3 linked regions of the Callithrix jacchus genome follow. The protein of the gene in region 1 purifies or fractionates together with the protein of each later gene. This does not show direct contact. Links are inferred from orthologs where the notes say so. Each region holds a gene or a part of one and is shown on either strand. Other genes may lie near its edges. The genes, in order: EXOC7, EXOC6 and EXOC6B.

Evidence for each region.
Region 2: the proteins of EXOC7 (region 1) and EXOC6 purify together in Homo sapiens (affinity purification with mass spectrometry; 4 studies listed by BioGRID and IntAct, counting the BioPlex papers as one, with this or other methods). This does not show direct contact. The link is inferred for Callithrix jacchus from reciprocal best matches to the Homo sapiens genes EXOC7 and EXOC6.
Region 3: the proteins of EXOC7 (region 1) and EXOC6B purify together in Homo sapiens (affinity purification with mass spectrometry; 3 studies listed by BioGRID and IntAct, with this or other methods). This does not show direct contact. The link is inferred for Callithrix jacchus from reciprocal best matches to the Homo sapiens genes EXOC7 and EXOC6B.

What each region holds. Positions count from the first base shown.
Region 1 is NC_133506.1:131,987,906-131,991,552, reverse strand, and holds part of EXOC7 (exocyst complex component 7), read left to right. Parts: intron 1-2,561; coding exon 2,562-2,625; intron 2,626-2,849; coding exon 2,850-2,891; intron 2,892-2,998; coding exon 2,999-3,132; intron 3,133-3,376; coding exon 3,377-3,479; 3' UTR 3,480-3,647. UniProt on the Homo sapiens protein: Component of the exocyst complex involved in the docking of exocytic vesicles with fusion sites on the plasma membrane.
Region 2 is NC_133513.1:85,429,959-85,434,136, forward strand, and holds the start of EXOC6 (exocyst complex component 6), read left to right. Parts: upstream 1-1,298; 5' UTR 1,299-1,462; intron 1,463-1,768; 5' UTR 1,769-1,896; intron 1,897-2,357; 5' UTR 2,358-2,424; coding exon 2,425-2,509; intron 2,510-4,178. UniProt on the Homo sapiens protein: Component of the exocyst complex involved in the docking of exocytic vesicles with fusion sites on the plasma membrane.
Region 3 is NC_133515.1:40,662,973-40,666,619, reverse strand, and holds part of EXOC6B (exocyst complex component 6B), read left to right. Parts: intron 1-1,269; coding exon 1,270-1,353; intron 1,354-1,689; coding exon 1,690-1,736; intron 1,737-3,122; coding exon 3,123-3,243; intron 3,244-3,647. UniProt on the Homo sapiens protein: Component of the exocyst complex involved in the docking of exocytic vesicles with fusion sites on the plasma membrane.

The sequences.
Region 1 (3,647 bases):
TGTGGGGATCTCTGTGCTTCCCTGGTCCTCTTTCTTCCTGGCTCTGTGGGGATCTCTGCGCTTCTCTGGTCCTCTTCCTGGCTCTGTGGGGATCTCTGTGCTTCCCTGGTCCTCTTTCTTCCTGGCTCTGTGGGGATCTCTGTGCTTCCCTGGTCCTCTTTCTTCCTGGCTCTGTGGGGGTCTCTGCGCTTCCCTGGTCCTCTTTCTTCCTGGCTCTGTGGGGATCTCTGCGCTTCCCTGGTCCTCTTTCTTCCTGGCTCTGTGGGGATCTCTGCGCTTCCCTGGTCCTCTTTCTTCCTGGCTCTGTGGGGATCTCTGCGCTTCCCTGGTCCTCTTTCTTCCTGGCTCTGTGGGGATCTCTGCGCTTCTCTGGTCCTCTTTCTTCCTGGCTCTGTGGGGATCTCTGTGCTTCTCTGGTCCTCTTTCTTCCTGGCTCTGTGGGGGTCTCTGCGCTTTGCTGGTCCTCTTTCTTCCTGGCTCTGTGGGGGTCTCTGCGCTTCTCTGGTCCTCTTTCTTCCTGGCTCTGTGGGGGTCTCTGTGCTTCCCTGGTCCTCTTTCTTCCTGGCTCTGTGGGGATCTCTGTGCTTCTCTGGTCCACTTCCTGGCTCTGTGGGGATCTCTATGCTTCTCTGGTCCTCTTCCTGGCTCTGTGGGGATCTCTGCGCTTCTGTGGTCCTCTTTCTTCCTGGCTCTGTGGGGGTCTCTGCGCTTCTCTGGTCCTCTTTCTTCCTGGTTCTGTGGAGATCTCTGCACTTCTCTGGTCCTCTTTCTTCCTGGCTCTGTGGGGATCTCTGTGCTTCTCTGGTTCTCTTCCTGGCTCTGTGGGGATCTCTGCGCTTCTGTGGTCCTCTTTCTTCCTGGCTCTGTGGGGGTCTCTGCGCTTCTCTGGTCCTCTTTCTTCCTGGTTCTGTGGGGATCTCTGCACTTCTCTGGTCCTCTTTCTTCCTGGCTCTGTGGGGATCTCTGTGCTTCCGTGGTCCTCTTTCTTCCTGGCTCTGTGGGGGTCTCTGCGCTTCGCTGGTCCTCTTTCTTCCTGGCTCTGTGGGGATCTCTGTGCTTCTCTGGTCCTCTTTCTTCCTGGCTCTGTGGGGATCTCTGCGCTTCTCTGGTCCTCTTTCTTCCTGGCTCTGTGGGGATCTCTGTGCTTCTCTGGTCCTCTTTCTTCCTGGCTCTGTGGGGATCTCTGTGCTTCTCTGGTCCTCTTTCTTCCTGGCTCTGTGGGGATCTCTGTGCTTCTCTGGTCCTCCTTCTGGCTCTGTGGGGATCTCTGTGCTTCCCTGGTCCTCTTTCTTCCTGGCTCTGTGGGGATCTCTGTGCTTCTCTGGTCCTCTTTCTTCCTGGCTCTGTGGGGATCTCTGTGCTTCTCTGGTCCTCTTTCTTCCTGGCTCTGTGGGGATCTCTGTGCTTCCCTGGTCCTCTTTCTTCCTGGTTCTGTGGGGGTCTCTGCGCTTCCCTGGTCCTCTTTCTTCCTGGCTCTGTGGGGATCTCTGCGCTTCTCTGGTCCTCTTTCTTCCTGGCTCTGTGGGGATCTCTGCGCTTCTCTGGTCCTCTTTCTTCCTGGCTCTGTGGGGATCTCTATGCTTCTCTGGTCCTCTTCCTGGCTCTGTGGGGATCGCTGTGCTTCTCTGGTCCTCTTTCTTCCTGGCTCTGTGGGGGTCTCTGTGCTTCCCTGGTCCTCTTTCTTCCTGGCTCTGTGGGGGTCTCTGTGCTTCCCTGGTCCTCTTTCTTCCTGGCTCTGTGGGGGTCTCTGTGCTTCCCTGGTCCTCTTTCTTCCTGGCTCTGTGGGGGTCTCTGTGCTTCCCTGGTCCTCTTTCTTCCTGGCTCTGTGGGGGTCTCTGTGCTTCTCTGGTCCTCTTTCTTCCTGGCTCTGTTTCTTCCCTTTGAGTGTGTCTCCCTCTTCCCTCTTGTTTATCTCCCCTCCACTCACTCCTTTCTTTCCCATCTGTTTCTCCGTCTTAATTTGCCATGATACTGATGTGAAATATAGTTGACAGTATTTGTTCAGTTTATTGAACACTCAAATGTTTCCTTATGTTTTCTCAATGAGTGACCAGTTTAAACATTTTCTCTTTTGTTTGTTTTTTTTGTTTTTGTTTTTTGTTTTTTTGAGACAGAGTTTCACTCTTGTCACCCCGGCTGGAGTCCAATGGCGCAGCCTTGGCTCACTGCAACCTCTGCCTCCCGGGTTCAAGTGATTCTCCTGCCTCAGCCTCCCAGGTAACTGGGATTACAGGCATGCAACACCATACCCAGCTAATTTAGCATTTTTAGTAGAGATGGGGTTTCTCCATGTTGGCCAGTCTGGTCTCGAACCTCTGACCTCAGGTGATCTGCCTGCCTCAGCATCCCAAATTGCTGGGATTATAGGTGAGAGCCACTGCGTCTGGGCTGTTTAAACATTTTCTATTCCCAGGAAGAGAATCTGTTGTTTTGCTTAGTTGTGACCCACATCCCTTCCTACCACCAACCACTAAGTAGATCCAGAGATTTGGCAAATGACACAAACCAGGCCACCGAGGCAGGCCGTCCTCTGCCCTCATGCTTCTCTTTCTGTCCGGCAGTTGGTTAAAGGTGACCGATTACATCGCAGAGAAGAATCTACCTGTGTTCCAGCCGGGAGTCAAGGTGGGCTCAAGGCCTGGGCTGGGAATGGGTGTTTAGCAGACTGGATACTTTGTTGTATCTCTGGGAAAAGAGGACAAGCGTCCCTCTGGGATCAGAGAGCAAAGGATGTGTATGGCCATCAGGGCACAGGAGAGAAGCCCAGGCCAAGGGCGTTTGGAACAGAGTGCGGGCAGGCTGCCCTGCTCTGAACTGAGCTTTCTCTACTATCTCTCCTGGCTTCCCAGCTCCGGGACAAGGAGCGTCAGATTATCAAGGAGCGTTTTAAGGTGAGTTGAGGTCCTCTCCTTTCCACTGCTTGCTGCTGTTTTTGAGACAACACAGACCCAAAGTTTTGTCTCTGGGTCCCTTCCTTTTTCACCTTTTTGGTGGCCAGGGCTTCAATGATGGCCTTGAAGAACTATGCAAAATCCAGAAGGCCTGGGCTATTCCGGACATGGAGCAGAGGGACAGGATTCGCCAGGCCCAGAAGACCATTGTTAAGGAGACCTATGGGGCCTTTCTGCAGAAGTGAGCCCCTTCCCAGCCTGTGCTGCCCACGGCCACAGTGGGCTCTTTGAGCTCCTCTTCCTCAAGGGCAAAAGGAAAAGGGTGACAGGTTTAGGCCGCAGATCCAGCACCCTGGGCTTTGGGGCGGGGCTGGACAGGGAATCACTCTGGGTCACACCTTCCGAGACTCTCAGGAGTGCCTTAGGCTGAGGGTGGTGCTGGGGAGGGTCGGCTTCCCTGTCCCCTGACGGCAGTGCCCCCTCAGGTTCGGCAGTGTGCCCTTCACCAAGAACCCGGAGAAGTACATCAAGTACGGTGTGGAGCAGGTGGGCGACATGATCGATCGCCTTTTCGACACCTCTGCCTGAGCCTGCTGCTAGCCCTGCCTGTTTCCACCAGACTGACATGTCATTGGACAGATAAACCAGTGTTAAGTTGCCTCTGGCCCCTTTGGGACAGAGTCCTATCTCCAACACCCCATCCAGGAGCCATGTCCCTGAGCCATCTAGTCCTGGGTTCCACTCTTTCCCCACACC
Region 2 (4,178 bases), on another chromosome or scaffold:
TAGTGAAAGTACCTATTCTCTTTCAACTTTTCTGACAAGCTTTTGTGTGTGTGTGTGGTTTTCATTACTGTGAATATTCATCTTAGGGCATGATTGGGCAGGATAGGGATTTAAGAAAACTTATTTGGACTTGGGGAAAATGCATTTTGCTGGGGACAGAAGACACTAAAATTCCCATTCCAGATATATTGCCATGTGGAAATTGATGAACTCAAAATCTCCTGATTTTGATTTTTTTTCAAGATCTAATAATCAATGAGCCTTTAAATCCGTGGTTGGAGTTATTTATGTGACTACTGACAATATGGGACAGAATGTGAAAACCAAACAATCACCCAGGATGCTTCTAAATGACTGGGAGTTCAGGCCAGGTGCAGTGGCTCACACCTATAATCCCAACACTTTGGGAGGCTGAGGCGGGCAGATCACCTGAGGTCAGGAGTTTGGGACCAGCCTGGCCAACATGGTGAAATCCTGTCTCTACTAAAACGACAAAATTAGCAGGGTGTGGTGGCACGTGCCTGTAATCCCAGCTACTTGGGAGGCTGAGGCAGGAGAATCCCTTGAACCCGGCAGCGGAGGTTGCAGTGAGCCAAGATTATGCCACTGCACTCCAGCCTGAGCAACAGAGTAAGACTGTCTCAAAAAAAAAAAAAAAAAAAAAGAAAAAAGAAAAAAGACTAGGAGTTCAGTATTTTGTAGTCAAAATAATCACGTTGTACTGATATTTATTTTTCAGTCCATAGAGGTTTTAGGAAGTCCCATTTGGACTCTGTATATGTCTAATTTTTTCCCTTGACATGTATTTTTTTGTATTGTTGATAAACCCAAATAAGAAGCACTTTGGAGACTCCTCCTACTCACCCAAAGATCTGAGACCCCAGGTCCACAGAAAGAAGAGCAGCTACCCCTTCACATGTGGCTGTAGGAAAACCAGAATCACACCGTTGTGGATGCAAGCATGGCTCGCAGCAAGACAGATGGAATCCCTACCCCTCTCTTGCTGGCTGGGGCCCCGGGGGACAAACTCATCCTCAGCCTCCGTCCCTCAGTTCCTAGAGCGGAGCGTGGCTTCCCCGAGAGAAGGCGTCCGTCCCATGCACGCAGTGGGCCCGAGTGTCAGTCAGAAAAGCTAGACAGCCCCAGTGATTCCTTCTTTTGAGACAGCTCTTGGGTTCGCAGTTGCAGGCGGGAAACCTGCTCAGTCGGATGTACACAAATCTCTCTGGACAATACAGAGGGCTGCGGCAAGGGGACCTTGGAGCTGGCAGAGGCATTTCCTGTCTGCGGAGGATCTTGACTTTGGAGCATCCGGCCGTCGCCGCGAGCAGCCGAACGCTTTCCTGCGTTGCTACTTTAAAAAAAAAACAAAAAACAAAAAGAAGTCACTGCAAATATCCCGCGACTTTCCAGATGAAAGCCAATGAAGCCGCTTCCCACTTTAAAAACATTTGTTTAAAACGTATGTTCTATCCATTCCTTAGACTCCTTTTTATTTTGGAAGGGGAGTTTGGTATCCTTGAAAAACCATAAGTATTCAAAAATCTCATTCTCTCTGAAGTCAGCTTTTTAGATGAACAAGTACGGGAAAGAGTTAACGGCAGAGGGTCCCTCCTCTGCTGCTCGCAGACGCTTGCAGTAGGAGATGCTCATAACCTTGTTTGTGTTTTTCTATCGGGGTTTATGCCCTTCCATCCTCCTTCTCCTCCCCACTTTTCCTTCCTCATCTTATTCATTCCCTTTCTCCTTTCCCCTCCTTGCCTTTCAGGATTCCTCATCTTCATTCAGTTTACTTCCCCATTTAGAATGGAAAATGACTAATCTCCATTCTTTAGATGTCACTACTGGAGCCAAGATTTTCCTGAAATTTATGGAAATGTTCATCTTTTAGCTGAGGTGAGAATCCTAATTGAGGGGAATGTTGCTGGAGCCCTAATGCGTTGCTCCCATCCAGCCGGGGATAAATGTTTAATTTATTTTATTATTAAGCAATAATAATAACATAGGCTGGGACTGGTGGCTCACACCTGTAATCCCAGCACTTTGGGAGGCCGAGGCAGGCAGATCATTTGAGGTCAGGAATTTGAGACCAGTGTGGCCAACATGGTGAAACCTCACCTCTTCTAAAACAAATACAAAAATTATCCGGAAGTGGTGGCAGGTGCCTGTAATCCTAGCTACCCCGGAGGCTAAGGCAGAAGAATCACTTGAACCTGGGAGGCGGAGGTTGCAGTGAGCCGCTGCACTCCAGCCTGGGCCACAGAGTGGGACTCCATCTCAAATAAATAATAATAATAATAATAATAATAATGATAATGAGAACATAAATAGAAGAGTAATAATCCCTGTGTCCTAAGGTCAAGGCACTCAGTAGCACTGGAGTGTAACGGAGCTGACAGATCTGGAATAAGGGGTGAGCAGCACATGCTGTGGCAGGGACTCCCAACCAAAGAAAACGAAAAGGAATGGTGTTCCACGGAGAAGGACGGTCCTGTCCACAGGCCTGGAGGTGAGAGAGGGTGGGGAGTATGCATGACTGAACTCCAGAGATTCTGAATTTCAGAATTTTGAATCAGGGATTGCGGACCTAGGTTTGCTTTACCCACCACACAGTTATCTTTGTTTTTGCATTGGCACTTTCCTCTCTCTGGAACTCTCTTCCCCACCAGATATAGCCTCATGGCTTGCTCCCTCCTCTCCTTCAGACATGGCCTTCCCTTTGCCAGCCTTTTTGCGATGGCAACCTCCTCTTCCTATCCCCAACCACAATTTAATTTTTTCTATTTCACTTAATGCAATGGGATATAATATTTTTACTGCCTTATTATTTGTCTCTTCTTGCTGATATATGAACATCATGAGGGTAGGGATTTTTGTCTGTTTGGTTCACTGCTATGTATCTTCAGCCTGCCCTATTAAGCACTTGGTAAATATATGTTAAATTAATGAATTACTGAGCATGTACTATGTGCTGCTAAATATTATGCGAATCTTTCACTTGCTTTATATCATTTAATCATCAACGACCCTATGAAGTAGAGGCTGTTATCAACCTCATTTTCCAGATAAGGAAACTGTCACCGAGAAGTTACACCCAAAACCTCAATTACTATACCGGTCAATGTAATGAGAATTTCCTCACTGAATCGGTTGCACTCTTAAGAAGGTATCAAATCAAGTCTAATTCTAGCTGTAAGAAAAGAGTTGAGGTTTTTTTGCTTATCTTATTTAATCTTTTGCCTTGATTCAATCTAGCATTATATCTGGAAGGAATTATGATACAGCATCAGGTATAAGCAATTTCTGTGTATGTAACATATTATTCTATTACATTAGAAAACTAATAAGCTGAGTGAAGTATCATTTCTCCCTCAGTTTTCTGGGGGAAATGAGCATTATAAAATATATTTTATATCTTTCAAAGTGTTAAAAAAAAAAGTTGTCTGGGTGTGGTGTCTCATGCCTGTTATCCCAGCACTTTGAGAGGCCGAGGTGGTTAGATCACGAGATTGGGAGATTGAGACCATCCTGGCCAATATGGTAAAACTCTGTCTCTACTAAAAATACAAAAATTAGCTGGGTGTGGTGGTGTACTTCTGTAATCCCAGCTACTCTGGACACTGGAACGTCCGGAGTAGGAGAATCCCTGGAACCCAGGAGGTGGAGGTTGCAGTGAGCGGAGATAGCACCACTGCACTCTAGCCTGGCAACAGAGCAAAATTCTGTCTCAAAAACAAACAAAAAATGTTTTCCTCTGGTTCATGTTATTTGGTGTCGCAATTACATAAACTATTTAGTATAATTATGTTTATTCTTCATCTGGCCCATGGAGGCCTGTTCCACAGGGGACTCTGGCATCAACATGGCAGTGTGATGGCTTACGATTTGTGTCCCCTGCATCCAGCACTATGTTTGACCTGCCGTAAGCTTTTAATAAATATTGTACTACAGAATGAAAGTGAAAGCCATGTGCCCTTCCTCAAGGAGAGGAGAGCCATTTCCCTCCCTCCCCAAGCCCTGCACCCTCATTATACTTCCCATTCCTTGGCTACCAGAAACACAGCTTGCCTGGATGGCTTTGGGAGCACAGCAGAAAACAGTGGGTAGGGGCCATAAGTGCTACAGAGACACTTGGCAGGTGCCAACTTGGGCCACGGTGAGGGGAGGACATATTTAGG
Region 3 (3,647 bases), on another chromosome or scaffold:
AAATTAGTAGAAGGAAGTTATACAGCTATTTATAGCAGTTGTATAGCTAGTAAGAGACAGAATCACGATTCATATGTAATAACCTCTGGTTCCAAAATCAATGCTCTTTACCACTGTGGTATACTGTCTTTCCATTTTTACTCTTGTTTATTTAGAAAAGCTTTGGATTAAGAATAGAATTCAGTAATAAATGGGGCATGATAATCTAAATACATTGAGTTTGTATTAGTTTCCTAGAGCTGCTGTAACAAAGCACCATAAATTGAGTGGCTTAAAACAACAGAAATGTATTCTGTCCCAGTTTTGGAGGCTATAATTCCAAAATCAAGGCATCAGAAGGGCCATGTTCTCCCTGAGACTAGGTAGAATCTTCAGCTCCTGCTAGTGATCAGCAATCTCTGATGTTCCCTGGCTTGCAGCTGTATCACTCTCTGCCTCTGTCATCACATGATGTTCTCCCTGTGTATCTCTGTCTTTTCATTTTGGCTTTTCAGGACACCAGACATACTGCATTAAGGTCCCTTACACTAATAGGATCACATCTTAATTTAACTAATTACATCTACAGTGGCCCTATTTCCAAACATGACTATACTCTGAAGTTCCATGAAGGATATGAATTTTGGGAGACCACTTTTCAACCCAGTACACAGCTCATGAGTCAGATGTGATTCTGTAGAGAACTTCTCATTTTAAGCCCAGATACCATAAATGAAAAGTAGGAACTGTGTACCAAGAATCTTCATGCTTTTGTTTTTTTTGGGTTTAATCCTGTGCTAGATTATCCCCTAAGGTGGATACTAATATGCTGTTCTCAGTTCCTGCTTTTCTTCTGCTTCCCATTGCCTCTTTGTTCATGATTCGTTTGAAAGCTGGTTTTTATTCTGGACATTTTCCTTCTGGAATGTTTTGTGAGTTTTTTAAGGAATGTTTTCTTACCTGTTATCATCCTATGGAAAGGTTGGTTTCCCTTCATTCTTATGAGTTTGAGATAGTTGATTCAGATACCAGCTTTGGTGTACTGGTGGTTAAGTTCTTGCAGTTTCCTTGTAAGGATATTTTATACCCACCCTTACAGGTTTGTAAGTAAGGTTCAATAAATGGCAATAGTTATTTTTATTTTCTATCATTATCATCACTGTTAAAATAGAGATTTTGAGAAATGTGGTACTACCAAATTCCAGACCTGGGACCTTCTCTTTTCCCTTGAAATATAAAAGTAATTGGTTCAATTGTGTCAAAACCATTTCCGTTTTCTTTATTTTACAGGGTGCCCGGGAAACATTTGAGAATTACTACCGAAAACAGAGGCGAAAACAGGCTCGTTTGGTACTTCAACCTCCGTCTAACATGGTAGGATTACTATCTTCACTTTTCTCACATTTTTACTTTTCCTTGGTATCTTTTGATGCTTGTGTGTTTGTGTGTATACTGTCATTCTCAGATAACTTTTGGTGGATGCGACTTGTAGTATGAAAACATTATCGATTGATTGCTATGTGTCACTCAGTGTTCTAAGTACTGGATATATGCTGTCCCATTTCCGCTTCATTGGCAGATAACATTAGTATTTTTACCTTATCAGATATCATCTAGGGAACTGAGCCTTAAGAGATTAAGTGACTGATTTTAACTTTTTTTTAAAGTAACAGAACAGAAACAATAACTTTCTTCTTTGCTTTGTTGCAGCATGAAACGTTAGACGGCTACAGGAAGTATTTTAATCAAATTGTAGGGTAGGTATATATATATATATATTTATTTACTTAAATTTATACACTTTCAATACATAGAAAGTTGTGAGAGTTGGAAAAATAAATCAGGTTTTCCTTGGGAAATTCTTTTTTTCTTTTTTTAAAATTTGTTTTCTTTTTTTAAATTCTTAAGGTTTGTTTTTGATTTTCTAATGATTTAAAAGGAACATTCTGCTGGTTTCAATATTATATTGTTGTAGGGCACTTTGTGGATAAAGTGAGAAAAACATTGAATTGTAATCTTATTATACTTTATGTTTTGTTTCTTTCTTTTTGGTAGATGGAACCAAATAATCATCAAAAGTTGGCAAACTTTTTCCAAAAGGGCCAGATAGTAAAATATTTTAGGCTTAGTAGGCTGTATGGTCTCTGTCACAACTGTTTAGCTCTGTTGTTGTAGTGTAAAAGTAGCTATAGACAATACATAAATGATGAGCATGGCTATGTTCCAATAAAACAATCTTTATAAAAACAGGCAGTGGGCTAGGTTTATCCCACGGGCTAATACAGTTTGCCACCCTCATCTAGAGTGTATATAGTGGTATGGAATTGCATTTCCCAAATAAACACCCCAATATAGGCAGCTTGGTCAAATTCCAAAATAATGACTTTGCAGTAAACAGAAAAGGAAATAACTTGGATTCATCATCAGGTTTGTTTTATTTCAGATTTGTTTCAATATAATTAGTAGTTATTAAAATTTATCATAAAAATTTTCTAATAAAGAAGTTTTTTTCATTAATATGGACATTTAGGCAAGACAATGAAAGGTACATTTTAAATGCATAATAATAAGAAGCAACAACAAGATCGTTGAAAAATAACTTTGCATTTTTGAAACCTTTATATGATGCCTTTTCAACACTTTGATGAGAGAGTTTGCATGAGGGAATTATTTTGATATTTTGTGCATTGGATTCTTAAAAAATATATATATAAATAATACATAACATATATGATGTATATAACATATATTAGCTTTTATGGAAATATATTGATGGCTTGGTGTTTTCTTATATAACAAAATTTGCCTCTGTTACCTCTACACATTTTCCTCTTTTAAACTACTGGATATCATTGTTAACATTTAATAGAAATGTAATACAAATGTAACTCTTAATATCTCTAGGAGTAGTTAAGAAGATATCATAATCACAGACATAATTTTTAGTCCAAGTAGTCTGATTTCATTTATGATATTCAGATAACCAAATAACTTTCTTCATTTAGTTAGTAGTTAGTAGTCATTTCAAGAAAACAATGACTACTAACTTTGCATTTGTTATCTCTTAATGCTTTTAAAACCCCAGAGATAGTAATATAACTGTAAATTCTGACAGCTGTGCTTTCTTTTTTCCTCAATCTTAGCTTTTTTGTGGTTGAAGATCACATTTTACATACAACGCAGGGCTTAGTTAATAGAGCCTACATTGATGAACTGTGGGAAATGGCACTTTCAAAAACCATCGCAGCACTCCGTACCCACTCGGTATGTAAGAAGCCCAAGAGAAGTTGTTATTTAGAGCTGATTATCTATCTGCTATTCAGTGTTTTACTGCTTTAACATCCGCATATGTGTGTCTTTGCAGTCACTCACTTGAAGCTATATATGTCCTTCAAAGATATAGAAGTAGCTCCTTCAAATTGTCACATTTTCTTCCACTGAGCTACTTTTATAGATGCCCTTTGCAATAAGAAAACAGCAGCTAATGTCTGTTGATTATTCTATGAGTCAGACATTATTTTGTATACTTTATACATACTCTCTTATTTCATCCTCACTACAACCCTAAAAAGGTAGGTACTATGATGATGATGATGATGATGATGATGATGATGATGTTTACCTTATAGTCTGGGAAATTGAACCTCAGAGAGGCTAGGTAACCAGCA